Linked DNA regions of Macaca mulatta. Each later gene encodes a partner of the first gene's protein in a complex. Links are inferred from orthologs where the notes say so. Each region holds a gene or a part of one and is shown in the gene's direction. Other genes may lie near its edges.

Region 1 (3,500 bases):
ATGATGATAATAATAACTGAGTACCAGTAAGCATAAGATAGTATTTGTAAGGTAACTGTAACCAGGCATTTTTCCTGAATACCATAACTATCTGAGCATAACATAACGTAGCATAACATAACATTCCATAACAGTAGGAATTTTGTAGTGTTGCCAAAACAGATGTATTAGTAAGAAGCTAAAATGTTGGCCGGGCGCGGTGGCTCACGCCTGTAACCCCAGCACTTTGGGAGGCCGAGGCGGGCAGATCACAATGTCAGGAGATCAAGACCATCCTGGCTAACACGGTGAAACCCCATCTCTACTAAAAATACAAAAAATTAGCGGGGCGTGGTGGCAGGCACCTGTAGTCCCAGCTACTCGGGAGGCTAAGGCCGAAGAATGCCGAGGCGGAGCTTGCAGTGAGCTGAGATCGCGCCACTGCACTCAAGCCTGGGTGGCAGAGCAAGACTCCTCCACCTCAAAATAAATAAATAAATAAATAAAAAGATTATTAGTTATTTAAAAACTCTTTTTCTCAAACGTTAGTGTATATGTTTACTCCGTTGAGACTGGGAGTGGGATGGCAGGAAGACTTTAGTAACCAGCAGTATGCCAGCAAAGCGTATGATAAACATGATGAATCTTTCTGGTTATAATTTTGCATTCAGACAAATCTAAAAAGAACATCCCACTCTATCTTGGAGTCAGATGCTTCTATATTTTTGACCCTCGCTGGCATATATATTTACTTTTTTGGCTATTTTTTGGAGTGCATTGGCACAGTTTGAAAAACATTGTTTACAGGAAATGTTTTAATTTAGTATTATGTAAACACCAAAGGCTTTAAAGGATATAATTCAGACTATATCAATCTTTGTAATGAGAGATTACACAAAATCCTATTAGTACTTATTTTACTTAGGTTGATTTATTATAAACACTATAGAAACCCCAGCTAAGAGCAAAAACACCTTTTTCTTCTATATTAAAAAAATTACATTTTTAAATTGCAGATGGAAAGCCAGAAATTTTTAGCAGAAAATAGTGCTTCAGTATATATAAAGAAAGTAGAAGCTAGAATTAATGAAGAGATAGAACGAGTGATGCACTGCCTTGACAAATCAACGGAAGAACCAATTGTGAAGGTAGTTGAGAGGGAACTCATTTCCAAGCACATGAAGACTATAGTAGAAATGGAGAATTCTGGGCTAGTACATATGTTGAAAAATGGAAAGACAGAAGGTAAGTGTTACCGATTGAAAAATAATTAAATCCTTATTCTGCCTTATCGATATTTTTAAAACTTTCCTACATTTAAAGCAGGTATCAGTTTTCAAGAAGTTGTGTATATTGTTAATTTGTCTCCGCTGTTAACCTGGGTGGGATTTCCAAGCTTGATACTGTCTTACCAATGAAGATTTTAGATATTTCTAATGAATTGAGCATTTCCTGTCTTTAAGTCTCATTTTATGTTTTTCTTAATCCAGAAGATAAAAAGTGTAACAGTAGGTGAGCCCAATGAGCTCCTCATTCATTCCTGTACTTGTCGTATACCAAAGGATGTGGGCTGTCTTTATTCCTACATACTCTTGGGGTTTTGTGATTCTCTTAAAATCTTAAATTTCCACCTTAGATTTTTGTAGACTTTCCTTTGGGATTTAGTTGTGATAGGGTGCCAAAAATGCAAAAATATTTATGTCTTCCATATTGATACACTTAGATAAATTAGATTGGTTTGGGGAACACTGAAGTTACAGAATGGAAAAGGAGGAAGGAGGAGTGCATAAAAGTAGAAAACACTATTGAGATAACTAACATTTATTTTTTGTAGCTATTTATCTTTATTTCCCTGGGGTAAAAAAAAAATTGTGACAAGTATCCTAGAAGAAATTACAAGTTAAAAGAACAATAACCATATCTTCTATTCTTAGTTTCTGATGCTTTGATTTAAAACTTTGCCTTTATCAGTGATATGGTATTAGAAAATAAAAAAACATGGTCCCTTGTTCTCCTGCTTCGTAGATGAAATCTGAGCGATATTTTATCCACTTCTTTTTAGTAAAAGAAATACATATTGCCTCTTGGGGTCATGAGCTATGTAGGGAATGAAAAAAAGTTTTTTAACAGAGAATTATGAAGAGCAGGAGGATACAAGAGAAGGGAAAAAGAAAGCTGGTGGGAAGTTGAGCCACGTTTCTCTCTAGTGGAATCCTTACCTTGTGTTTTAAAATTGTTAAATTTTTGTATATATGATAAATCCCTGAAAAGTGATACATAATTTAAAAAAAAAAAAAAAAACTAGAGAGACTTCCTTTTTAAAAGACTATTCTGTTAAACCTTTTTTTGTAAAAGCAAAAAAAAAAAAAAAAAAAAAAAACAAGTCATCTAGTATGTTTGCCGTGTTTGCTAAAATTAAGGTCTAAGTCTGGGGTTGGCAAGCCTTTTTTGTTCTTGTTGAATAAAATGGCTTGTGAGCCATGCAGTCATAGTGAGAAAATAGTCATAGACAATAACAAATGAATAAGCCTGTGTTTCTATAAGACTTTATTTATGGGCCCTGAAACTTAAATTTCATATAATTTTTATGCGTCACTAAATAGTATCCTTTACAGTTTTTCCTCAGCGATTAAAAATGTGAAAACCATCCTTAGTTCATGAGCTGTATGTACATAAATAGGTGGCAGGCTTATTTGCCCCACGGGTTCTAATTTGATGACCCTTCTCTAAATGGTCTCTGGTAGACTAGGACTTCATGCAAAGCATTTGCCCTGCTTAAACAAAATGAGTATCGATAAATTATGTAATGTACTGTTTAGGTATTGAGTGAATGCTTTCTTACCTACCTTAGGGGCATGTAGGGAGGGATGATTAAATGGGCTGGAGATGAGGGGCTAGGAAATGTTTGATGGAGAGGTTGTTGGGCATACCTGAATTACAGCATCTCTGTAACTTGTGTGGAGATATATGTAAAAGGTGTCAGGTGTGCCTATCATTGCAGGCACTTAACGTGAATGAAGGAATATCATAATAGTACTCACCAGAGTTCTCCTTTATTTAGTACCTTAGGTTTCCAACAACACAGTAGCTATCTGTGATTCTAAATTAAATTTTAAAATCCTGTTTTTGTCCGGGCAGTGTGGCAAACGCCTGTAATCTCAGTACTTTTGGGAGGCTGAAGTGGGTGGATCGCTTGAGCTCAGGAGTTCAAATTGGTGATACCCTGTCTCTATGAAAAACACAAAAATTAGCTGGGCGTGATGGCACATGCCTATAGTTCCAGACACTTGGGAGGCTGAGGTGAGAGGATCATTTGAATCCGGCCAGGGAGGTCAAGGCTGCAGTGAGCCAAGATCATGCCACTGCACTCCAGCCTGGGTTGCAGAGGGAGATGCTGTCTTAAGAAAAAAAGGGGGAACTGTTGTCTTTAATTTTTCTGAGCTTCCACTAGAAACCTAGTGGCAAAAGATCTTAATTGTGGTAGACCCCGCTCTTGGAAAAAAGTTGCTCTTGTTGAGAAC
Region 2 (3,500 bases), on another chromosome or scaffold:
CATATATTCTCATCTGATCCTTGCAGTGTTCATTTGAGGTAGATAACCGTTATTTCCCCATTTTATATAAGAGAAAATTGAACTTTAGAGATTTGAAACTTCTTTCCTAATAAGTAGTTTAATTGGCTAATTTAAGTTTTAAATCCAAGCAACCTTTTAAGCTTTAAATCCAAGCAACCTGACTTCTCAGTGTAAACAGTTTCTAGTTAATCACTATGATGCTGCATAAATATAGTAGGTAGCACACCTGATTCAACTGAGATCTACCTTCTTAAGAAAAAACAAATCTAGGAAGCTTACAGTGTCTAAGATGGGTCATTTAAATATAGGTAATTTATAACTGCACATAAGTCTATTTCATGTTGCTTTGATAACTTACCTCTCTAGATAAGAATGGCAAATAACTACTACTCATTGTGCATGATTTGCTGGTTTTATGTGACTGTCTCGTCCAAGTTGAGGAAACCAGAATCCAGTTACTCAACAACAATTTTCTGTATACTATGATTTGTTTACATTTTTTCGTATAGTTCTCTCAATTATATATGAAGTCTAGGAAAGTATGACTTATGTATGAATTTCCTTGCCTATTCTTTAAGGCTGTTTTGTTTTTTAAGAACCTGTTTATTGTTGTACTACTGGTTCCTAAATAGAACAGTTAAGTAGGCCACTGAGCAGGAAAAATTACTGCAAAATTATATAGTCTTCTGATTTTATTACTACCAGAAGACCTTATCTCTTAGCCCAGATGTGTGTATCTGAAAATAAAAATTACACTGTGGGCGTCTGATTAATATACTTAATGTCTTACATAAAAGTAAAATGTGTCTGTCCTGGCCCTATCAGCCTGTTTTTTTTCCTTCTCCTTCTAGGTAGAAGATGTGTTACAACGTTGTCGAGAATATTTAATTAAAAAAATAAATGCAGAGAATTGTGTACGATTGTTGAGTTTTGCTGATCTCTTCAGTTGTGAGGAATTAAAACAGAGTGCTAAAAGAATGGTGGAGCACAAGTTCACTGCTGTGTATCATCAGGACGCGTTCATGCAGCTGTCACATGACCTACTGATAGACATTCTCAGTAGTGACAATTTAAATGTAGAAAAGGAAGAAACCGTTCGAGAAGCTGCTATGCTGTGGCTAGAGTATAACACAGAATCACGATCCCAGTATTTGTCTTCTGTTCTTAGCCAAATCAGAATTGATGCACTTTCAGAAGTAACACAGAGAGCTTGGTTTCAAGGTCTGCCACCCAATGATAAGTCAGTGGTGGTTCAAGGTCTGTATAAGTCCATGCCCAAGTTTTTCAAACCAAGACTTGGGATGACTAAAGAGGAAATGATGATTTTCATTGAAGCATCTTCAGAAAATCCTTGTAGTCTTTACTCTTCTGTCTGTTACAGCCCCCAAGCAGAAAAAGTTTACAAGCTATGTAGCCCGCCAGCTGATTTGCATAAAGTTGGGACTGTTGTAACACCTGATAATGATATCTACATAGCAGGGGGTCAAGTTCCTCTGAAAAACACAAAAACAAATCACAGTAAAACAAGCAAACTTCAGACTGCCTTCAGAACTGTGAATTGCTTTTATTGGTTTGATGCACAGCAAAATACCTGGTTTCCAAAGACCCCAATGCTTTTTGTCCGCATAAAGCCATCTTTGGTTTGCTGTGAAGGCTATATCTATGCAATTGGAGGAGATAGCGTAGGTGGAGAACTTAATCGGAGGACCGTAGAAAGATACGACACTGAGAAAGATGAGTGGACGATGGTAAGCCCTTTACCTTGTGCTTGGCAATGGAGTGCAGCAGTCGTGGTTCATGACTGCATTTACGTGATGACACTGAACCTCATGTACTGTTATTTTCCAAGGTCTGACTCATGGGTAGAAATGGCCATGAGACAGACTAGTAGGTCCTTTGCTTCAGCTGCAGCTTTTGGTGATAAAATTTTCTATATTGGAGGGTTGCATATTGCTACCAATTCCGGCATAAGACTCCCCTCTGGCACCGTAGATGGGTCTTCAGTAACTGTGGAAATTTATGACGTGAATAAAAATGAGTGGAAAATGGCAGCCAACATCCCTGCTAAGAGGTACTCTGACCCCTGTGTTAGAGCTGTTGTGATCTCAAATTCTCTATGTGTGTTTATGCGAGAAACTCATTTAAATGAGCGAGCTAAATACGTCACCTACCAATATGACCTGGAACTTGACCGGTGGTCTCTGCGGCAGCATATATCTGAACGTGTACTGTGGGACTTGGGGAGAGATTTTCGATGCACTGTGGGGAAACTTTATCCATCCTGCCTTGAAGAGTCTCCATGGAAACCACCAACTTACCTTTTTTCAACGGATGGGACAGAAGAGTTTGAACTGGATGGAGAAATGGTCGCACTACCACCTGTATAGTTGGGAAGTTCAGGGAGTGCACGCCTGAGTTATGTGCTTTGTCATTTTCTTTGCTAAACAAAAGAGGCTATGAAAGAACTAAATATGACTACATAAAAATCTATCTTTGATAAATTTTATTTTTATGCCCTACTTAATATTTGCATCAGTATAATATATATCAGTGAGTCTTACAGAAAGATATGCTTCCATAATATGAAATAGATTATTCAATAATTGAGAAACTTTATGTGTAATCATGAGAGTATAAGAATCTGGATTATCTAACATTGTTAGCCCTGTGTATGTACAGTTCAAAAAGTTCATTTATAAAAGTAGTTTCCTGTTCTTAGTGTGGTATATCACAAATTGTGCTGAGGTTATTTTAGTATGTGTATTTCATTCCCGTGCTTCTGTTCTGAAGTCCTGGAATACAGTTTTCAGTGTAATTAATTCAACTGCACTTAACACTAATGTCCATGTTGGTATAGAAACGTCTAAATCCTATACTCTAGTTGAGGAAGATCTTCCATAATTTTATGGTATTACACAGGGAAAGCTATGACTGCAGGATCAGTCTAACTATACTATTAGGTGCATGTATTCTCTTTTCACTAACTTATACTTGTCTATCTAGAATACAGGTCTTCCGGTCAGCTGGTCATTTACCAGGTGTGGACTTACGTTGCTGGGCTTGCAGTAAGAATTGCCAGCCCCTCATTGTGCGGGTCTGCGTGGAGCTTTAATCAGTAAAAGCCTCCACTTTCTGTATTATGTTAACATTGGCTCATGCATATAACTACCTGCTGCTGATGTAGTTCTCCATCTTCAAGATTTAGAGTGGGTTAACCAGGTCATTACATCTTAATTTAATAACAAGCATTACTGTAGAGTGATTGTGTATAGATCTGTTAGCTGTCAGGGTGTGTTTTTTTTAACCTGTTGTGTGCGTGTGGGGGTTAGGATTAGTAAGGTGAACTGTTCAGGAATTCTCTGCACTAGCTGTGCAGAAGAGCAGATAACTAGCGCTGCTCTGGCATTAATCCCAGGAACCACTAGCAGTAGTGGGGCGCCGCCAATCTAACATGAGCACAGGTGCTTCATGACAAACAT
Region 3 (3,500 bases), on another chromosome or scaffold:
GTGTAAACCCGGAAGGCGGAGCTTGCAGTGAGCCGAGATCGCGCCACTGCACTCCAGCCTGGGCAACAGAGCGAGACTCCGTCTCAACAAAAATAAATAAATAAATAAAAATTTAAAAATAAATAAATAAATAAATACCAGCAGAATTATTCCATGTGTAATGGTTAATTTATTGATGATCCTGGATAAGCCAGGTATTTCCATTTTTAGAGAAACTGATTTATTGCACTGAACCCATGACTGGAGTTGGTAGCAGGGGGGTTCCCACAAGAGGGGACCCCACAGCATCCTGAAATGGAGCTGGTTTGGGATTCCGAAGAAAGAAGCATCAAACACCAGGGTGATCTGGCCAGAGCGTTTATTAGAGGGAACTTATGTATAGAGTGGTGCAGCATATCCTCAAGACAGATAAGGGAAAAGAGAGGCTTTACCCAGGCTTGCCCATGGAGTGGGTTAGGGTATGGAGTTTCAATTAGGGTTTAAGGAATTTGTCTCAGGGCCAGAACCAGTTTTTCTTTCAGTGTTTTGGGTAACAACCTTGATGCCTTTATCAGTGCCTGGGAATGTTCAAGGGCCCAGTTTGGGTTCAAGCCTGCTGGGAAAACCTGCAGTTGACTGGGTCACAGAGAGGTCAAGATACTCTGTCATTTTTCAATCTGAACTCGGAAAGAAAGGAGGTAGGCACTGGGGGGCCCCACTGAACCTCTAAAATCCTGCTTTCCTAAAGAATTTATCAACACCTGGTTTGTTCTCCCAGGCAGTTTTCCCTAGGGCCCTTACCTTTGTCTTCTATTTTCCAAGATTTGGTTGTTCACAGGGTGGCCTTTAACAGCCTGCTAGTTGTGGCCTCATTCCCATCTCCCTCCAGTGCCATTCTTTCTCGCTGTCCTTTCAAACCACTAGTGCTTCCCCACGGTTGGGAAGGGTTGATGTGGCCACCTGGGAGCCCCTTCACTTACTGGAGTCAAGTGGGTCTTGACCCAGCTGGGGACCTCAAGAACCCTGAGTCAGGGATCACTTGAGCCCAGAAGCTTGAGACTTCAGTGAGCTGTGATCTTGCCATGGCACTCCAGCCTGGGTGACAGAGCAAGACCCTGTCTCAAATTTTAAAAAGAAAAAGAATTCTAAGTCAGGTTTCTGGGTTGGTGCTGGTTAGGTGTCTGAGAGGCTCTGAGCACTCCTAGGGAACCAGGGTGGATGTTCTGGCAGGGGGAAAAGGCCGGGTTTGCTTTTGCTCCCAGCACTTTTGGAGAGGCAGGCTCTTCTAGAGAATCCTAGGGTAAGGATGGGGGTGGTCTTAGGTCCTTTCCAAACCACAGATACATGACGCAGTAACCGTTTGTGCTGCTTCCTGCTTTTCTGGAGAGCCAGTACTTTTTTTTTTTTTTAAGGTGGAGTCGCACTCTGTCACCCAGGTTGGAGTGCAATGGCGCGATCTTGGCTCACTGCAGCCTCTGCCTCCTGGGTTCAAGCGATTCTTCTGCCTCAGCCTCCTGAGTAGCTGGGATTATAGGCGTGCACCACCACGCCCAGCCAATTTTTGTATTTTTAGTAGAAACGGGGTTTCACCATGTTGGTCGGGCTGGTCTCGATCTCCTGACCTCGTGATCCACCCGCCTCGGCCTCCCAAAGTGCTGGGATTACAGGCGTAAGCCACCATGCCTGGCTGAGCCAGTACTTTTGATCTAAGAGGGAGCTGACGTATATCAAGGGTCCACTCCTATGTGCTCTCTTATTTTCATCATACTCCTCCTCACTTTAATGATCCCTGTTTTATAGATGAGGAGATTGAGTCTTAGAGAGGTTAAAAACATTCTGTATGGGAAACTGAGGCAGGAGAATCATTCGAACCTGGGAGGCAGAGGTGGTAGTGAGCCGAGATTGCGCCACTGCACTCCATTCTGGGCAACAAGAGTGAAACTTCGTCTCAAAACAAAACAAAACAAAACAACAAAACATGCTGTATATCCTGTCACCTGGTACGTTTCCAAACCAGGACTTAAACCCAGTCTGCAGTAAGCCCCAGTCTCCAGTGTGTCAGAAAAGGTCAGGGACAATTAAGGAGGACTTCCTTTCCACTTTGCCTGGCCCACAAGGGCCTGTATTTCTGCCATCATTCTGTCTCCCACCCCCAGATGCTGTTCGCTAGCCCAGGCTTCAATGGGTGTCATTCTCTCTGCAGATCCCAGAAATTATCCATTTCTGCTGTGATTTCCTCATGTCCTGGGTGGACGAAGAGAACATTCTTGATGTCTACCGGCTGGCAGAGCTGTTTGATTTGAGCCGCCTGACTGAGCAACTGGACACCTACATCCTCAAAAACTTTGTGGCCTTCTCTCGGACTGACAAGTACCGCCAGCTTCCACTGGAGAAGGTCTACTCCCTCCTCAGCAGCAATCGCCTGGAGGTCTCCTGCGAGACCGAGGTATACGAGGGAGCCCTTCTCTACCATTACAGCCTGGAGCAGGTGCAGGCTGACCAGATCTCGCTGCACGAGCCCCCAAAGCTCCTTGAGACAGTGCGGTTTCCGCTGATGGAAGCTGAGGTCCTGCAGCGGCTGCATGACAAGCTGGACCCCAGCCCATTGAGGGACACAGTGGCCAGTGCCCTCATGTACCACCGGAACGAGAGCCTACAGCCCAGCCTGCAGAGCCCGCAAACGGAGCTGCGGTCGGACTTCCAGTGCGTTGTGGGCTTCGGGGGCATTCACTCCACGCCGTCCACTGTCCTCAGCGACCAGGCCAAGTATCTAAACCCTTTACTGGGAGAGTGGAAGCACTTCACTGCCTCCTTGGCACCCCGCATGTCCAACCAGGGCATCGCGGTGCTCAACAACTTCGTATACTTGATTGGAGGGGACAACAATGTCCAAGGATTTCGAGCAGAGTCCCGATGCTGGAGGTAGGACAGGGTGCTAGCTGGTCCCTTTGTCTTCAGGTGATGTGAGGGTGTGGAAGTCATGGGCTGAGAGAGTTGCTCAGGTTCCCCCAGCCTTTCACATGAACTTCACTTGTCATTGTGGAATAAAGTCTGGGTGAATTCAGAGAAGGTGGACAGCAGTGAGATAAGGGAAGGGGACATCCGGATTGCCTTCTTTCCTGCATGTCCTCTACTCCTCAGAAACCCATTTACCCTGGACCCCTGCTCAGCCTCTTTGGGATGGGCTAGGTTGTGAGTGTATTGTGCAGGAGGAGACGGGAGGGGAGCCCACAGCAGGAAAGGCAGTCGGACTGTGATGGAGAGGACCTAGGAGCAGTGGCAGCTGGGCAGCCTCGCCCTCCGTCGTGCTCTCTCTCAGCTTTGATGCATATTGTTTCAGTTTCCCTTCGCCAGTCTGCCTTGCTCTTTCTTCTTTCTTACCTGCTCGCTAATGGTGGAACAGACTTCCTGCTTCTGTGCCTGAGCAGCATGCAGTCTTCAGCCCAGGGGAGTGGTAAAGGCCAACAAGCATCACTGAGCCTCATGCTGCATTTTCGCTGTGCCCTGCAGTCAGCCACACA
Region 4 (4,055 bases), on another chromosome or scaffold:
GGGAGGATCGCTTGAGCCGAGGAGTTCGAGACCAGCCTGGGAAACAGAGTGAGACCTTGTCTCTATTTAAAACAAAAAAAAATCGGCTCTAGCCTGTAATTCCAGCACTTTGGGAGGCCGAGGCAGGCGGATCACCTGAGGTCAGGAGTTCGAGACCGGCCTGGCCAACATGGTAAAAACCCGTTTCTACTAAAAATACAAAAGAGCCGGGCGTGGTGGCGGACACCTGTAATCCCAGCTACTAGGGAGGCTGAGGCAGGAGAATCGCTTGGACCCGGGAGGTGGAGGTTGCAGTGAGCCGAAATCGCGCCAGTGCACTCCAGCCTGGGCAACAAGAGCGAAACTCCGTCTCAAAAAAACACCCCAAAAAGAATGCTTCACAAAAATTAAAGAAATACAGCGACTGCAGATGGGTCGGTTTCACTATAGCACAAGTAGCGGAAAGAGGACACAGACTGGGGAGAAATCACCCTACACAAGATGACAACTGAGGAATGAGAAGTGGGGACTGACACACGCCACGGTGAAACCGCGCACCACGACCAAAGGCGGTCCTAGGACTGCGACTAAGCGGGCGCAGAGGCCACCCTCCAGGCTTGGCGGGGGGATGAGGGCAGCACTGGGGGCCTGCTCAGTCTGGCCTTAGGGAGGACCTTCGGGGCTCTCCTCTCTCCCCATCGATCCCTGAGCAGTTCCCGAACAGAAATCGGAGACCAGACGGTGCCTGGGCCCCAGCCCTCCCACGCGGACTGCGCCTTGGGCCTGGCTCGGAGGTGGGTCAGAGTCTGCGAAAGACCAGCGAGGGCTCTCAGGTTTCGGGGCAGGCGGCGGGCGCCCACCCCGGCTAGCAATGGGAGTCGCGCGGCGACCGGGCGAGCCCGGTAGGCAGGACAGGACTGCGGCGCAGGTCCGACTCAGGCGGAGGAAGCAGCCGCCGCCCCAGCTGATGGAGTGCGGCCGGGGGCTTCCCAGAGGAGGCGGCGACCTCGAGCCCTTTCGAACGTTTCTACCAGGCTAGCTCACGTAGCCTCGGCCCCGCCCGGCCCCGCCCCGCCCCACCCACTCCGGCCACCGCCCCCTCCCCGGCCGACACTTCGCGGGTGGGGCGACTTGCGATAGCCCCTTTAAGAGGCGTGGTCACGTGCTCCGCCCCCACCTCCCCCACGCGCGCCAGTAAGGGGTGGGGTGCGGGAGGAGGTGCCGGGGAGGCTGGGGGAACGAGGTGTGCGCTGCTGCGCAGGCGCGGTGGTCGGACGACAGACCGTGTGTTTCCAAAATGGCGGCAGCGATGGATGTGGATACCCCGAGCGGCACCAACAGCGGCGCGGGCAAGAAGCGCTTTGAAGTGAAAAAGGTTGGGTCTCGCCAGCGCCTTCCTCAGGGAAGCTAGAGAGGCGCGGATCTGGCTGGCAGGCCCGAGGATGGTCGAGGCGCGGAGTAAAGGGTTTCATTTTAGGGCGTTCCTGGGACCGGGTACCACGAAAGGAAGTCGGGGGGCGGGCCTTAGAGTTGATCGGCGTGACGGCGGCCCACTGTCAGGGGAAGTGTTGGTTTCGATGTGAGGCTGAGGGGCCAATCACAGAGCTGCTTGTTGAGATACGCGGGGTTGCGACTTGGCGGCGGGAGCCAAGCGCCTGAGCTGTCACTGGAGTGGTTGAGAGGTGGGGGAAGGTAGGGTGGGGTGAGGTAGGGTGGGGTGGGGTGGGGTGGGGTGGGTGGAATGGGGAGTCAGAGCGACTGCGGCGGTGGAGGATGGGGCAGTGCGGCGAAAGCCTGGAACCTGAGGTCCTACCGCATTGGAGGCCTCTGAGGAGCCCCGCTAGTGATCTTGCTCCGCCCCTTTTTGAAGCTTGCTTGGGGTCCTCTCACTTGAAGGGATCAGACTTGTTCCTCGCTGAACCGAGGCCTCCATTAACCCCATCTCTGGGCCTCACACCGCCGAGTTAGAGTCTGGAGTGTAATGCTTGGGTGTTCTGAGACGTCTGTTGGCTTTTCCCACAACCACCCCACTCTTGGATTCTCTGTCACGTTCAGAATCTCCCCCTTCCGAAATAATAATAAAAAGCACGGTGGAACTTGTTAAGAAAATCCGAGCCCAAATCCTGTGGCATTTCGGAAGGGTTGAGTACTAGTTGCGAATGACTTGGTAAGAGGGGAAAGCAAAAATGGAACGTGTCTTTTGCATGAAATGCATTTTAGTGGTTTGCCACAGTTTGGGAGAAAAGTGTCGATTCCCACCTAACATGAAAACTATTCGAAATGGAGATTCTGAAATAGGGAAGATATTCCTGGAACATCTGGCTAAACACTGACAATATCCCCCCCCTCCTAGTGCTTTTTGGTGTCTCATTGTGGCCACTGCTGCTCAGTTACAGCCAGCCATATTGAAGAATAATAGAAGTAGGGGCTTTTCCTCCAAGTTGAAGCTGTGATGTGAAAAGTGGTGAAGAAGTTACTAGGCACTGAGACTGGGGTTTGAAAGCGATGAAGGTTTGGGAGTACTTGTAATTGAGGAAACCAGAGTTGAATGAATGAAATGCCACTTTTAATTAAACTCTTACTGGAATTATTATCTTTTTTTTTTTTTTTTTTTTTTTTTTGAGACGGAGTCTAGCTCTGTTTCCCAGGCTGGAGTGCAGTGGCCGGATCTCAGCTCACTGCAAGCCCCACCTCCCGGGTTCACGCCATTCTCCTGCCTCAGCCTCCCGAGTAGCTGGGAGTACAGGCGCCCGCCACCTCGCCCGGCTAATTTTTTTTGTATTTTAGTAGAGACGGGGTTTCACCGTGTTAGCCAGGATGGTCTCGATCTCCTGAACTCGTGATCCGCCCGTCTCGGCCTCCCAAAGTGCTGGGATTACAGGCTTGAGCCACCGCGCCCGGCCTGGAATTATTATCTTAATAGAAGAGTCTAAACATATAAAAGTTCAGAACATCAGTTTATTTTATGGTAAGAATCGAACAAAATTCTAGTGAATTGTAGAATTTGTTATGAAGTAATCTAAGATTTAAGTGATGACCTTGTTCTGTGTACTGACATGGGCAGTTAATTATCCAGCTTATCCCACGATTACCTGTTTTATGATCCAGTCATCATCTTAGTTCATTCTGTTCCCTAGCTTTCACTTCATTGCTCATGCTTCCAAAGCTGCCTGGAAGAGCAGATACTTATTCAGATTTTGAGCGCTTCTGCAACTGCCACCAAAACCTGCACAGAAATTCAAGTTTGTGCTTTTTTTTTTTTTTTTTTTTTTAGATGGAGTCTCACTCCATCGCCCAGGCTGGAGTGCAGTGGCACGATCTCGGCTCACTGCAACCTCTGTCCCCCAGATTCAAGCGATTCTCCTGCCTTAGCTTCCCAAATAGCTGGCATTATAGACACCCGCCACCAAGCCTGGCTAATTTTTGTATTTTTAGTAAAGACGGGGTTTCGCCATATTGGCCAGGCTGGTCTCGAACTCCTGACTTCAGGTGATCCACCCGCCTCAGCCTTCCAAAATGCTAGGATTATGGGCGTGAGCCACTGCGTCCGGCCAGACTAAATTGTTTTAAACTACAGGAAACAAAAGATGACATTCATTTATGTCTTCATATACTCAGTCTTTTGGAGAATAGGAGAACGTATGTGTTGTCTACTGTTGTCTTTGGTATAATAAGATTAACATAATATCCAAAACCTTTTGTTTGGTGGTTCCTTGTGGCCAGAGATCATAACTACAACTGCAGCCTGAAGTCCTAAAAACTGTGTGTGTGTTATAAGGAGAATGCATTGTTCCCTCTTTTTGTCTTTGCAGTGGAATGCAGTAGCCCTCTGGGCCTGGGATATTGTGGTTGATAACTGTGCCATCTGCAGGAACCACATTATGGATCTTTGTAAGTAATTGGAGGAGGATGGGAGGAAGTTGAGAAGGTTGCAGAGCTTGTGGCTATCTTGATGTGACCGATTTTCTTCTTCACAAGCAGATATCAAGCCTACTCTGAGCACTCGGTCTTCTGTATCTAGTCTTTTGGTGTGTTTGAAATAGAGTAGTTTTTTTATGATGTCCTGGAGGCATACC
Region 5 (3,500 bases), on another chromosome or scaffold:
GGTCCTCAGTCTGCAGTCTGCCTGGAGCTTGGGGGCCCAAGCAGCAAGGCCAGTACGGCTGCTGTGCCCTCTCTGCCTAAGCCCAAAAGCAGGGACCTTGCCTAGCTCTAATCTTGTCAGTTTGTGGCTTCTCTGCCTCTTTGCCAGAGGAGGAGTGAGCAAGAGAGAGCCATGTAGTCGGACACTCATTTGCAATTTCATTGAAGCATGAAGTCGTTTCCTACCTTTACCAGGTAAGTAGAAAATTGACTTGGAGTGGGAGGCGGCAGGGGAGTTACATACTTTTGAAAATGAAAAATGAAAAACTTTGTTGTTTAGGGTTTTTTGTTTTTCTTGGCCCCATTACCAGCAGGAAGACGGCAGCACAGGCTTTTTTAGGGGGTCAAAATGCTGGAATGCAGTTTGCGTTTTGGCCATGTTTTCTTTTCTTTTCTTTTTCTTTTTTTCCAGGCTTAATTCACTTTATTTTTCTTGTGTAAAAACCCTGTTGTCTCCACAGCTGGAGCCTGGGTCCGCAGCACGGAGACTCTGGTGAGGGTCTTGACAAGGTGGTCAGAGAATTCCTGATCGGGAGACTTGTTGAATACAGTCTCCTTCCACAGGTCAGGGGGCAGGTAGCTGTGGTCTTAGAGATGGCATCAAAGGTGTTGGCCATAATTTCTGTAGGCATGAGTTTTGTCTGACCCTTGAGTTCTCAGTACTGAACTGGGGCCTTGGGTCATGCTGTTCACTGGACGTTAATGACAGTGCTTTGGAATTCCCCGAGATTGAGCAGGCAGCGAACCTGTTTGTTGGCACAGACCATTGCTCCATCACTCTGAGCACCCGGTCCCCAGGCCTGGGGGAGAAGGGCAGACAAGGGAGGCAGGGGAGGCGTCGCATTGACTCAGGGTCCTGGAGTCAATCGGGGACCCGGGAAGCTCTGGCTGCATGTTTCTCTGCTTTGGCTGAGGCAAATCTGGATCACTTCAGTTAGTGTTCAGCATGTCCTGCTGTCATCTTGGGCCTCTGCCTTGGTCTTGAGGGTGAGTCACTTGTGGCCCCACCTCCAGGCCATCACTTGCCCCAGCTAAGTGAAGAGCCCTGTGGGGACACCTGGATTCAGAGAACACGTCTCCACTGAGCACTTGGGCCTTGATGGCAGCTCTTGTTCCAAGGCTAGGGGGATGTCTAGCCAGTACCAGCCCAGGGCAGAGCCTGCTGGGAGCAGGGAAGCGGGTACATGAGGCTCTACTTGGGTGTCCACAGCAAACCCTGCAGGGATCAGTCACCTTGAACAGAGATCAGGCTCCAGAGCCGGACAGCCCGTATGAGAATCCTGGCTGTGGCGGTTTGGGTAGTTTCTTTGCCTCTCTGAGCTGTGGCTTCCCTAGCTTTAAAATGGGACTCACAGGAGAAGCTTCTGCAGAGGACTGTCATGAGGGTGGAATGTGGTCAAAGGCACCAGTTACTTAGCACTGCCCGGACACCTGCCTGAGTCAGGAACACCGTTTGCGTGTTCTCTCAACCATGGGAGGCAGCCTCAACTCTAGCTCACCTAGGGGGTGGCTCATCTGCAGGCCAAAGATGTTTGTCCCAGAGCTGGCCCATACCCTGAGAACAAAACCAGTTTCTGCAGGGCAGGGTCAGACCCAGCCACTCTTGCCTATGTTGTCCTTGGCAACGTGGTTGCGGGAGAGGGACTTGGTTTAGCAGAGGTGAGCAGGGAGTGGGTGGGAGGGGGCAAGGGGGCTCATGCTGAAGAGAGAGTCCTGAGAGGGCAGATGGACAGGAGGGGCTCCGCTGACCTGTGGGCTTGTTCCCCCACAGGCTGGTGCACCATGTCGGTCAGCGTCCATGAGACCCGCAAGTCGCGGAGCAGCACGGGGTCCATGAACGTCACCCTCTTCCACAAGGCCTCCCACCCGGACTGCGTGCTGGCCCACCTCAACACGCTTCGCAAGCACTGCATGTTCACTGACGTCACGCTCTGGGCGGGCGATCGTGCCTTCCCCTGTCACCGTGCCGTGCTGGCCGCCTCTAGCCGCTACTTTGAGGCCATGTTCAGCCACGGCCTGCGGGAGAGCCGGGACGACACTGTCAACTTCCAGGACAACCTGCACCCGGAGGTGCTGGAGCTGCTGCTGGACTTTGCCTACTCCTCACGCATCGCCATTAACGAGGAGAACGCTGAGTCGCTGCTGGAGGCGGGCGACATGCTGCAGTTCCACGACGTGCGGGACGCCGCCGCCGAGTTCCTGGAGAAGAACCTTTTCCCCTCCAACTGCCTGGGCATGATGCTGCTCTCGGACGCCCACCAGTGCCGCCGGCTGTACGAGTTCTCCTGGCGCATGTGCCTGGTGCACTTTGAGACGGTGCGGCAGAGCGAGGACTTCAACAGCCTGTCCAAGGACACGCTGCTGGACCTCATCTCGAGTGATGAGCTGGAGACCGAGGACGAGCGGGTGGTCTTCGAGGCCATCCTCCAGTGGGTGAAGCACGACCTGGAGCCGCGGAAGGCCCACCTGCCCGAGCTCCTCCGCAGCGTGCGCCTGGCCTTGCTGCCGTCTGACTGCCTGCAGGAGGCCGTCTCCAGCGAGGCACTTCTCATGGCGGACGAGCGCACCAAGCTTATCATAGACGAGGCCCTGCGCTGCAAGACCAGGATCCTGCAGAATGACGGCGTGGTCACCAGCCCCTGTGCCCGGCCACGCAAAGCAGGCCACACGCTGCTCATCCTGGGGGGTCAGACCTTCATGTGTGACAAGATCTACCAGGTGGACCACAAGGCCAAGGAGATCATCCCCAAGGCCGACCTGCCCAGCCCCCGGAAGGAGTTCAGCGCCTCAGCGATCGGCTGCAAGGTCTATGTGACAGGGGGCAGGGGCTCCGAGAACGGGGTCTCCAAGGACGTCTGGGTGTATGACACCGTACATGAGGAATGGTCCAAGGCGGCGCCCATGCTGATTGCCCGCTTTGGCCATGGCTCAGCGGAGCTGGAGAACTGCCTCTATGTGGTGGGGGGACACACTTCTCTGGCAGGCGTCTTCCCAGCCTCCCCTTCTGTCTCCCTGAAACAAGTGGAGAAATACGACCCTGGGGCCAACAAGTGGATGATGGTGGCCCCCTTGAGGGATGGCGTCAGCAATGCCGCAGTAGTGAGTGCCAAGCTGAAGCTCTTTGTGTTTGGAGGAACCAGCATCCACCGGGACATGGTGTCCAAGGTCCAGTGCTATGACCCCGCGGAGAACAGGTGGACGATCAAAGCTGAGTGCCCCCAGCCGTGGCGGTACACAGCCGCTGCCGTCCTGGGCAGCCAGATCTTCATCATGGGAGGTGACACGGAATTCACGGCCGCCTCGGCCTACCGCTTTGACTGTGAGACCAACCAGTGGACACGGATTGGGGACATGACCGCCAAGCGCATGTCCTGCCATGCCCTGGCGTCCGGCAACAAGCTGTATGTGGTTGGGGGCTACTTTGGGACCCAGAGGTGTAAGACTCTGGACTGCTATGACCCC
Region 6 (3,500 bases), on another chromosome or scaffold:
GCCACCATGCCCGACTAAGTTTTGTATTTCTAGTGGAGATGGGGTTTCACCATGTTGGCCAGGCTGAACTTGAATTCCTGACCTCAGGTGATCTGCCTGCCTTGGCCTCTCAAAGTGCTGGGATAACAGGCGTGAGCCACCATGCCTGGCCTATAATTTTTAAAGATATATGTTCAATTAATGTTACTAACATCTCTAAGCTCTTAGGTATGAGATTCTGCCTTTATCTTGTAGAATTATAACCATCATTCTTTTTTACCTTTCAAATTTTCAGCTTTCAGAGAAGGGGAAACCTTATGTTGACATCCAAGGTTTGACTGCCTCTACCATGGAAATTTTATTGGACTTTGTGTACACAGAAACAGTACATGTGACAGTGGAGAATGTACAAGAACTGCTTCCTGCAGCCTGTCTGCTTCAGTTGAAAGGTACAGACATTAAAACTTGGTATTATTTATGTTGAAATAGCCCTGGAAAGGTTGAAAATTAATAGTGTAAACTTAATCATGAACATTTTGGAGACAAACTATGGATGCTTATGTTTACTAGCCATGGCTTTTGTCTCATTGAGCAATAAGAGATCAGATGTCAATAGCACTATAAAGGAACTTCTCCAGATATGAGTATTTGGCACTATAAAAGAGCATTTGCACCTTTTCTGTTTTAAAAAAAAAAATGTAGGAAGGAGAAATTATGTGTTTTCTTACATACATGTATATAACACACCTATAAGGAACTATAATAAAAACTGATACTATACATAATCTACATGGATACTCTTTATCTGGCCATTAAGTGGTAGTATTTCATTAAGATAAATGAAATTTAAATTGATGCACAAAATATTAAAGTATGTTTTCACAGGATTACAGGTGGTTTGTTTTCCCTTACAGTTCCCAGGTTTTTTAGACTTCTTATTTTGTTTTTGAGACAAGAGTCTCACTCTGTCACCTAGATTAGAGCACAGTGGTACAATCACAGCTCACTGTATCCTTGAATTCTTGGGCTCAAGCAATTCTCCCACCTCAGCATCCTGAGTAACTGGGACCACAGGCACATGCCACCACACCCAGCTAATTTAAAAAAAAATTTTTTTGGCCGGGTGCGGTGGCTCAAACCTGTAATCCCAGCACTTTGGGAGGCCGAGACGGGCGAATCACGAGGTCAGGAGATCGAGACCATCCTGGTTAACACGGTGAAACCCCATCTCTACTAAAAAACACAAAAAACTAGCCGGGCGAGGTGGCGGGCGCCTGTAGTCCCAGCTACTCGGGAGGCTGAGGCAGGAGAATGGCGTAAACCCGGGAGGTGGAGCTTGCAGTGAGCTGAGATCCGGCCACTGCACTCCAGCCTGGGTGACAGAGCGAGACTCCGTCTCAAAAAAAAAAAAAAATTTTTTTTTGTGGAGACGGGTTCTCTCTGTGTTGCTCAGGCTGGTCTCAAGTTCGTGGACTCTAGTGATCCTCCCACCTTGCTTCCCAGAGTGCTGGGATTATAGGCATGAGCCACCATTCCTGGTCCTCAGTTTTTTCTTTTTAAAATTCAGTTATGTTTTTGGTTTTTATATATACATAATTGATACATTTTTAGTTTTTAATACATGGTTTAAACAGTGTGAAGCTTTTGCATTAGTGCATAGTCATAAAATTAAAATACCCTGAACTTTTCAATTAGATGAATATGAGATTTGTTATTATCTTCTGCTTTTCTTTCACTCTAGTCTTTTAGTAAGTTTTCATGTAGAGTAGAAAAATGGGTACATTATGCTGAATTAGTAATTAGTTTTATAGTTTGATTCCCAAGAGTTTTGTAGGCATTTTTGTTGAATTTTGCCAGGTCCCTGGATGTGATTCATCTTGCAATATTCACTTTAAAGATTAAACAGAGACAGGTGTAAAGGTCTTGCTGAAAGTGGCGCAGTACATAAGCCAGAAATAGGGTTTTAAGTTCCTTAAGCAAAGAATTTCTCATCTGTTTCTTAGGTGTTGAAACAAGGGTTCATCTGATAACATGTAGAGAAGATGTTGAGATACAAGAATACAGACTAGATCACACCCGTCCAACTGTTCTAAAGTGTTTGCTTCCTGTGTCCGTCCTAGGTGTGAAACAAGCCTGCTGTGAGTTCTTAGAAAGTCAGTTGGACCCTTCTAATTGCCTGGGCATTAGGGATTTTGCAGAAACCCACAATTGTGTTGACCTGATGCAAGCAGCTGAGGTTTTTAGCCAGAAACATTTTCCTGAAGTGGTACAGCATGAAGAGTTCATTCTTCTGAGTCAAGGAGAGGTGGAAAAACTAATCAAGTGCGATGAAATTCAGGTACAGATTTGTCTTGATGTTATGGTTTCTTCAAGATTGGGCAGTTACAAAACTTGCAAAGTAGGATGCAGTTACTTACCATTAGGGCTTCATAATCAAGTGTGTATTTTGGCTCAAAGATTTCATTAACCCCTCCTGTACCAAATTTATTTGCATTTTTATGGAGTGGGAGTTTGCCACTTTCTTCAATTAGATATATGATCCGAGTGGGTAAGAATCACTATTAAACAGAGTATAGAATAAGCAGAAATTGGAAGTAAAGTAGATATCTGTAGACCACTTCTCTGTTACCCATTCACTCATTTCACAAACATTTACTGAGAATATCTACTATGTAGCAATTACTATGCCAGGTGCTACAGATCCCCAAATGGGTAAATATAGTTCTTGCTTTCAAAAAATTCACAACCTGCTAGTAGAGACAGAGATATAGACTATATATATGTATATAAAAAATAAAGAGGATAATAAGAATAATGAGCCTATACAAAGTAAGGACATTACGTAGAAGAGAGAAGAATAAACCTTTGCTCAGGAGTGGATCAAAAATGAAGAGACAAAAGTTTGGAAGTGAGGATCTACAGAAGCAGGAGCCAAATCATAACTGTCTTGTGAGGGCGCAGGGGATGGAAGGAAGGGACACGCAAACTGGATGTTAAAGGAATAGTAGGCCAGGCACAGTGACCTGTACCTGTAATCCCAGCACTTTGGGAGGCTGAGGCAGGAGAACTTCTTGAGGCAAGGAGTTTGATACTAGCCTGGGCAACATGACAAAACCTTGTCTCTACAAAAAAATAAAATTAGCCTGGCATGGTGGTGAGCACCTGTGGTCCCAGCTACTTGGGAGGCTGAAGTGGGAGGATCTCTTGAGCCCAGGAGGTTGAGGCTGCAGTGAGCCATGATCACACTGCTGCACTCTAGCCTAGGCAACAGAGGGAGACCCTGTCTCTTGCAGGCGAAGAAAAAGGAATAATACTTCACCTAGGCCGGGCGCGGTGGCTCAAGCCTGTAATCCCAGCACTTTGGGAGGCCGAGGCGGGCGGATCACGAGGTCAGGAGATCCAGACCATCCTGGCTAACACGGTGAAACCCCGTCTCTACTAAAAATACAAAAAACTAGCCGGACGCGGTGGCGGGCGCCTGTAGTCCCAGCTACTCGGGAGACTGAGGCAGGAGAATGGCG
Region 7 (3,608 bases), on another chromosome or scaffold:
GCCCTACCCCCTCCTCTGACCTCCACTCACTCATCCCTTTGACCCACAGGTGCACGTTGGGGGCAGCCTGGCCGTCCTTGGGGGAAAGCTGTACGTCTCTGGGGGATACGACAATACGTTTGAACTCTCGGACGTAGTAGAGGCCTATGACCCAGAGACTCGCGCATGGAGCGTGGTGGGGCGGCTCCCAGAACCCACCTTCTGGCATGGCAGCGTCAGCATCTTCCGCCAGTTCATGCCCCAGACCTTCTCAGGTGGGCGCGGCTTCGAGTTGGACAGTGGCAGCAATGACATGGACCCGGGCCGACCCCGGCCGCCGCGGGACCCTGACGAGCTGCACTAGCCCCGGTCTGACCCTGCATGGGCCTTGGTGCAGGTAACTGGCACCTCTGCGGGGCAGTGCCCCACTCCTTTGTGCACAAGGACAGGTTGGGCTCACAGGAGGAGCACGGGCTCTTGGGTGGCCGAGCAAGCCCAGGATGCATTACCTGGAAGGTTTCTGTGCCTTGAAAGCCTGATCTGAGGCCATCAGGAACGCCCTTCCCGCAGTTGAGGAAGAGCTACTTTCCTGCTGGCACGTTTCTGGGTCTTGGAGGTCACCCCCACCCTGCGGATCACAGCTCACCCACGCGGCGCACACCCCTCCTGCTGCTGTCATCTGCACCTACTTGCTCCCACGCTGGGAGAGGAGGACAACTTGGGAGGGACGCGTGAAGGGAGGAGGGGTCCTCCCATGAGGCTGAGGATGATGTGAACCTGGAGCAGCGGACCAGGCACCAGGCAGAGGCTAAAGTGGGGTCCCAAATTCCACATCCAGAGGTGTGGGGAGCCTGCCTCCCTAGCTCCTGGCCCCTGCCAAGGGCTTGCTTCAAAACACCTCGGAGTGCTGGTCTCCAGAGGTTGCACCCAGGACAGTGGGGCATGAGCAAGGGTGTGGGCTGGGAGGGTGAAGAGGATGTGGCCATACCAGATGCTGGACCTCTCCAGCCATAGTCCCCCGCTCCCGCCCCGACTGGCTGTTGTGTCCTCACCTCTCACCCTCTTCTTCACCGGCCTGGGACAGAAGCCCAGGGGAGGTTTCAGCGCCAGGTCATAGCTCCTTCCCAGGAGGCCCTGGGAGGCGGTCATTGACACCCAGCCAAGCAGACAGCTGTGGGTGCCCGAGCCCTTGCTGGGCCTGTGCATGAGGAGTCCCACCGCTTCCAAAGGAAGTCCTGGGTAGGAGGTGGCCTTGGTAGTTCCAAAGTTGAAAATGCTTGCAGTTTGACCTTAGAAGAAGAAGTGGGAAGAAGAGGGAGCTCTACAGGGTCAGCTTTGTTCCTGTTTTCAAGTCTAGAAAGTCCTATTGCCAAAGCTTTCTGCAGGAGCTCCCGGGCGAATGCCGCAGCTTGGCAGCCCCTGGTTTTCTCTTAGAAATGGTCAGTTTTCCCTCAAAGTACCCAAAGTAGCCTTGGCTTGAGTTTTTGTCCTTGCCTCCCTTTTCAGAGGAGAGGGCGTTTACACTGCGTCTTCCTCGTTAAAGAAGATGAAAGCAAATGTGTGTTGCCTTTTCTAGTGAACTAACTTGTAGAGATGTTCTCAGCAGGAAGACAGTCTTAGCACTGTCACTTAGCAGACTGCACTTAAGACCCTTGTGCTGGCCAGATGGCATGGCTGGTTGCCTTAATATGTCCCCTAGGAAGGGCTAAGGGACACCTGACAGGGCTGCCTGGCCTCTCCCTCGTGCTCCTGAAGAGCCCAGTCCATACACTGTGGATGTCATTGCTGTCGGGTTAGAAAGTCTTGTCCTAGAACACCCTGGCTGGTGTGGTTACGGTTCGTGGCGGCTCTTCTCCGTTGAGTCATGGTCATCTCCCAGCACCTGCTGTGTACCAGGTGCTGGTGGGAAGGCCGAGGATGGGGGCCCAGCACTGTCCAGGCCTGCTGGGACCTGGCTGGGAGTCCTGTGGGCAGCGTGGAACATGCAGCTGGGCTTCCTGTGACCAGGAGCCCTCTGGCACGGTTGCTTGCCCTGTGCCCTGGGCCTTTTCCTGCCCTCCTCCTTCCTCTGCTCCCTTGGGGCTACCCGTTGGACTCTCCTGGTCTGTGGAAACTTCCTCAGGGAGCTTCCCTGCCCTGTAGCACTCACTTAACTTCCTAGGGGGCTGCTGAGCCCATCCAGAGGTTGTTGGAGCTCAGTGGGGCAGCTTGTCTCCCTTGGCAGCAGGGGCATAAGGGCTGGGTTTGGCCATACAAGGTTGGCTATGCCCTCAATCCCTGACTGTCCCAGGCACTGAGCTCGGCACCCAAGGAAGGACATGCTGTCCAGACTGTGTCATGACTGCCAGCACAGGGCATCTCGGGCTGGGCTGGGCTGTGAGGCCTTGCCTCTGTGGAAGAGAACTCTGGGTTCCTGTTTTCTCACTCACTCTTTGCGGCTTTGCTGTGGTTGGCAGCTGCCGTACTCCAGGCCTGTGGTGGCCACTCAGACAGGGGCTGTGGTGCGAGCCAGTGCAGGAGAGCTGGGTTTGGGATTGTGCCCTCTCCTGTGTCTGTCCTCCAGACCTGCCCAGGTCTCCACCATCAGGACCCCGTCTTTGGGTTTGGAAGACCAAGTATGGGGAAGAGCAGACACCAGCCTCTGCAGCAATGGGTCCCTCTAGCCTGTGGACACCAGCTGGGTGTCCAAGGTCACCTTGGACCTTGGTCAAGGTGGATCCAAGGTCAGGCCCTCTCTCCCCAGCTCCCCTCTGCTGTGGGTTCTGGGCTGTGATGTCCCCACCACTTAAGGATGTCTTCACACTGACTTCAGGACAGATGCTGGGAAGCCTGGGCATGGCCACGTGTTACGTGTACAGAATTTTGTCTACAGCACAAATTAAGTTATGTAAACACAGTGACTGGTATTTAATGCTGATCTACTATAAGGTATTCTATATTTATACGACTTCAGAGACGCGTATGTAATAAAGGACGCCCTCCCTCCAGTGTCCACATCCAGTTCACCCCAGAGGATTGGGCAAGTTGACATATTTATTTTTGTCTATTCTGTAGGCTTCCATGTCCAGAATCCTGCTTAAGGTTTTGGGGTACCTTCAGTACTTTTTGCAATAAAGTATTTCCTATCCATTTGGGGTCACTGCCTTTGTCCTCCTGCCACTGTCTTCTGGGACTCCTTTGGGCTGAGGCCAGATGTCGGGGGAATAGGCAGCATGGAGTCCAGGGCTCACACTGAGGGTCTTAAAAAGCCTTCCAGGCCCTTTCTCATCTCAGACTGTAGCAAGAAATGAAGCAGTGGAAAAGACATGCCCGAGAGGCAGGGTGTGGTGGCTCACACCTGAGATCCCAGTGTTGGGAGGCTGAGGAGGGAGGATCACTTGAGCCCAGGGGTTCAAGACCACCCGGGGCAATACAGGAAGACCTTGTCTCCATTTAAAGAGAGGAGAGGCTTGAGAAGTAAATGCTGTGGCGTGGATGATGCCCGGCAAACCTGCCTGCTCCAAAGCTGGTCTCTGCCCGTTTGTCCTCGACCCGGGCCCAGCTCCCACAGCCCTTCCTGAGGTTGCGGTACATACAGGTAGTGGTGAGACTCCCATCTGCAATGGGATGGCCTTTGGACCTGGGGAGGT

The links.
Region 2: CUL3 (region 1) and KBTBD2 share a complex: the UniProt entries of both Homo sapiens proteins name them as parts of the BCR(KBTBD2) E3 ubiquitin ligase complex. The link is inferred for Macaca mulatta from reciprocal best matches to the Homo sapiens genes CUL3 and KBTBD2.
Region 3: the proteins of CUL3 (region 1) and KLHL22 are in contact, whole or in part, in a cryo-EM structure (PDB 8K8T), measured with the Homo sapiens proteins. The link is inferred for Macaca mulatta from reciprocal best matches to the Homo sapiens genes CUL3 and KLHL22. Residues at the interface, in NP_003581.1 of Homo sapiens: Thr14, Arg17, Ile18, Arg19, Ala20, Phe21, Pro22, Met23, Met25, Asn49, Ser50, Gly51, Leu52, Ser53, Phe54, Glu55, Tyr58, Tyr62, Leu66, Met118, Asp121, Ile122, Met124, Tyr125, Arg128, Val129, Gln133; in NP_116164.2 of Homo sapiens: Asp73, Tyr74, Arg76, Gly77, Met78, Gly81, Gly82, Leu83, Lys84, Glu85, Leu92, Ile93, His94, Leu117, Gln121, Val125, Cys128, Gln129, Gln131, Pro133, Trp146, Glu150, Asn151, Asp154, Val155, Arg157, Leu161, Phe162, Asp163, Ser165.
Region 4: CUL3 (region 1) and RBX1 share a complex: the UniProt entries of both Homo sapiens proteins name them as parts of the BCR(ARMC5) E3 ubiquitin ligase complex. The link is inferred for Macaca mulatta from reciprocal best matches to the Homo sapiens genes CUL3 and RBX1.
Region 5: CUL3 (region 1) and KLHL25 share a complex: the UniProt entries of both Homo sapiens proteins name them as parts of the BCR(KLHL25) E3 ubiquitin ligase complex. The link is inferred for Macaca mulatta from reciprocal best matches to the Homo sapiens genes CUL3 and KLHL25.
Region 6: CUL3 (region 1) and KLHL12 share a complex: the UniProt entries of both Homo sapiens proteins name them as parts of the BCR(KLHL12) E3 ubiquitin ligase complex. The link is inferred for Macaca mulatta from reciprocal best matches to the Homo sapiens genes CUL3 and KLHL12.
Region 7: CUL3 (region 1) and KLHL21 share a complex: the UniProt entries of both Homo sapiens proteins name them as parts of the BCR(KLHL21) E3 ubiquitin ligase complex. The link is inferred for Macaca mulatta from reciprocal best matches to the Homo sapiens genes CUL3 and KLHL21.

Annotation. Positions count from the first base shown.
Region 1 is NC_133417.1:129,759,212-129,762,711, reverse strand, and holds part of CUL3 (cullin-3), read left to right. Parts: intron 1-995; coding exon 996-1,224; intron 1,225-3,500. UniProt on the Homo sapiens protein: Core component of multiple cullin-RING-based BCR (BTB-CUL3-RBX1) E3 ubiquitin-protein ligase complexes which mediate the ubiquitination and subsequent proteasomal degradation of target proteins.
Region 2 is NC_133408.1:95,474,691-95,478,190, forward strand, and holds part of KBTBD2 (kelch repeat and BTB domain-containing protein 2), read left to right. Parts: intron 1-872; coding exon 873-2,408; 3' UTR 2,409-3,500. UniProt on the Homo sapiens protein: Substrate-specific adapter of a BCR (BTB-CUL3-RBX1) E3 ubiquitin ligase complex that acts as a regulator of the insulin signaling pathway, modulating insulin sensitivity by limiting PIK3R1/p85alpha abundance in adipocytes.
Region 3 is NC_133415.1:32,193,835-32,197,334, forward strand, and holds part of KLHL22 (kelch-like protein 22), read left to right. Parts: intron 1-2,182; coding exon 2,183-2,901; intron 2,902-3,500. UniProt on the Homo sapiens protein: Substrate-specific adapter of a BCR (BTB-CUL3-RBX1) E3 ubiquitin ligase complex required for chromosome alignment and localization of PLK1 at kinetochores.
Region 4 is NC_133415.1:10,578,625-10,582,679, reverse strand, and holds the start of RBX1 (E3 ubiquitin-protein ligase RBX1), read left to right. Parts: upstream 1-1,255; 5' UTR 1,256-1,276; coding exon 1,277-1,354; intron 1,355-3,791; coding exon 3,792-3,870; intron 3,871-4,055. UniProt on the Homo sapiens protein: E3 ubiquitin ligase component of multiple cullin-RING-based E3 ubiquitin-protein ligase (CRLs) complexes which mediate the ubiquitination and subsequent proteasomal degradation of target proteins, including proteins involved in cell cycle progression, signal transduction, transcription and transcription-coupled nucleotide excision repair.
Region 5 is NC_133412.1:75,565,259-75,568,758, reverse strand, and holds part of KLHL25 (kelch-like protein 25), read left to right. Parts: exon of another isoform or gene 1-233; intron 234-450; exon of another isoform or gene 451-602; intron 603-766; exon of another isoform or gene 767-1,025; intron 1,026-1,809; 5' UTR 1,810-1,820; coding exon 1,821-3,500. UniProt on the Homo sapiens protein: Substrate-specific adapter of a BCR (BTB-CUL3-RBX1) E3 ubiquitin ligase complex involved in various processes, such as translation homeostasis and lipid synthesis.
Region 6 is NC_133406.1:60,583,888-60,587,387, reverse strand, and holds part of KLHL12 (kelch-like protein 12), read left to right. Parts: intron 1-274; coding exon 275-428; intron 429-2,099; coding exon 2,100-2,317; intron 2,318-2,658; exon of another isoform or gene 2,659-3,032; intron 3,033-3,157; exon of another isoform or gene 3,158-3,316; intron 3,317-3,500. UniProt on the Homo sapiens protein: Substrate-specific adapter of a BCR (BTB-CUL3-RBX1) E3 ubiquitin ligase complex that acts as a negative regulator of Wnt signaling pathway and ER-Golgi transport.
Region 7 is NC_133406.1:234,192,476-234,196,083, forward strand, and holds the end of KLHL21 (kelch-like protein 21), read left to right. Parts: intron 1-49; coding exon 50-343; 3' UTR 344-3,108; downstream 3,109-3,608. UniProt on the Homo sapiens protein: Substrate-specific adapter of a BCR (BTB-CUL3-RBX1) E3 ubiquitin-protein ligase complex required for efficient chromosome alignment and cytokinesis.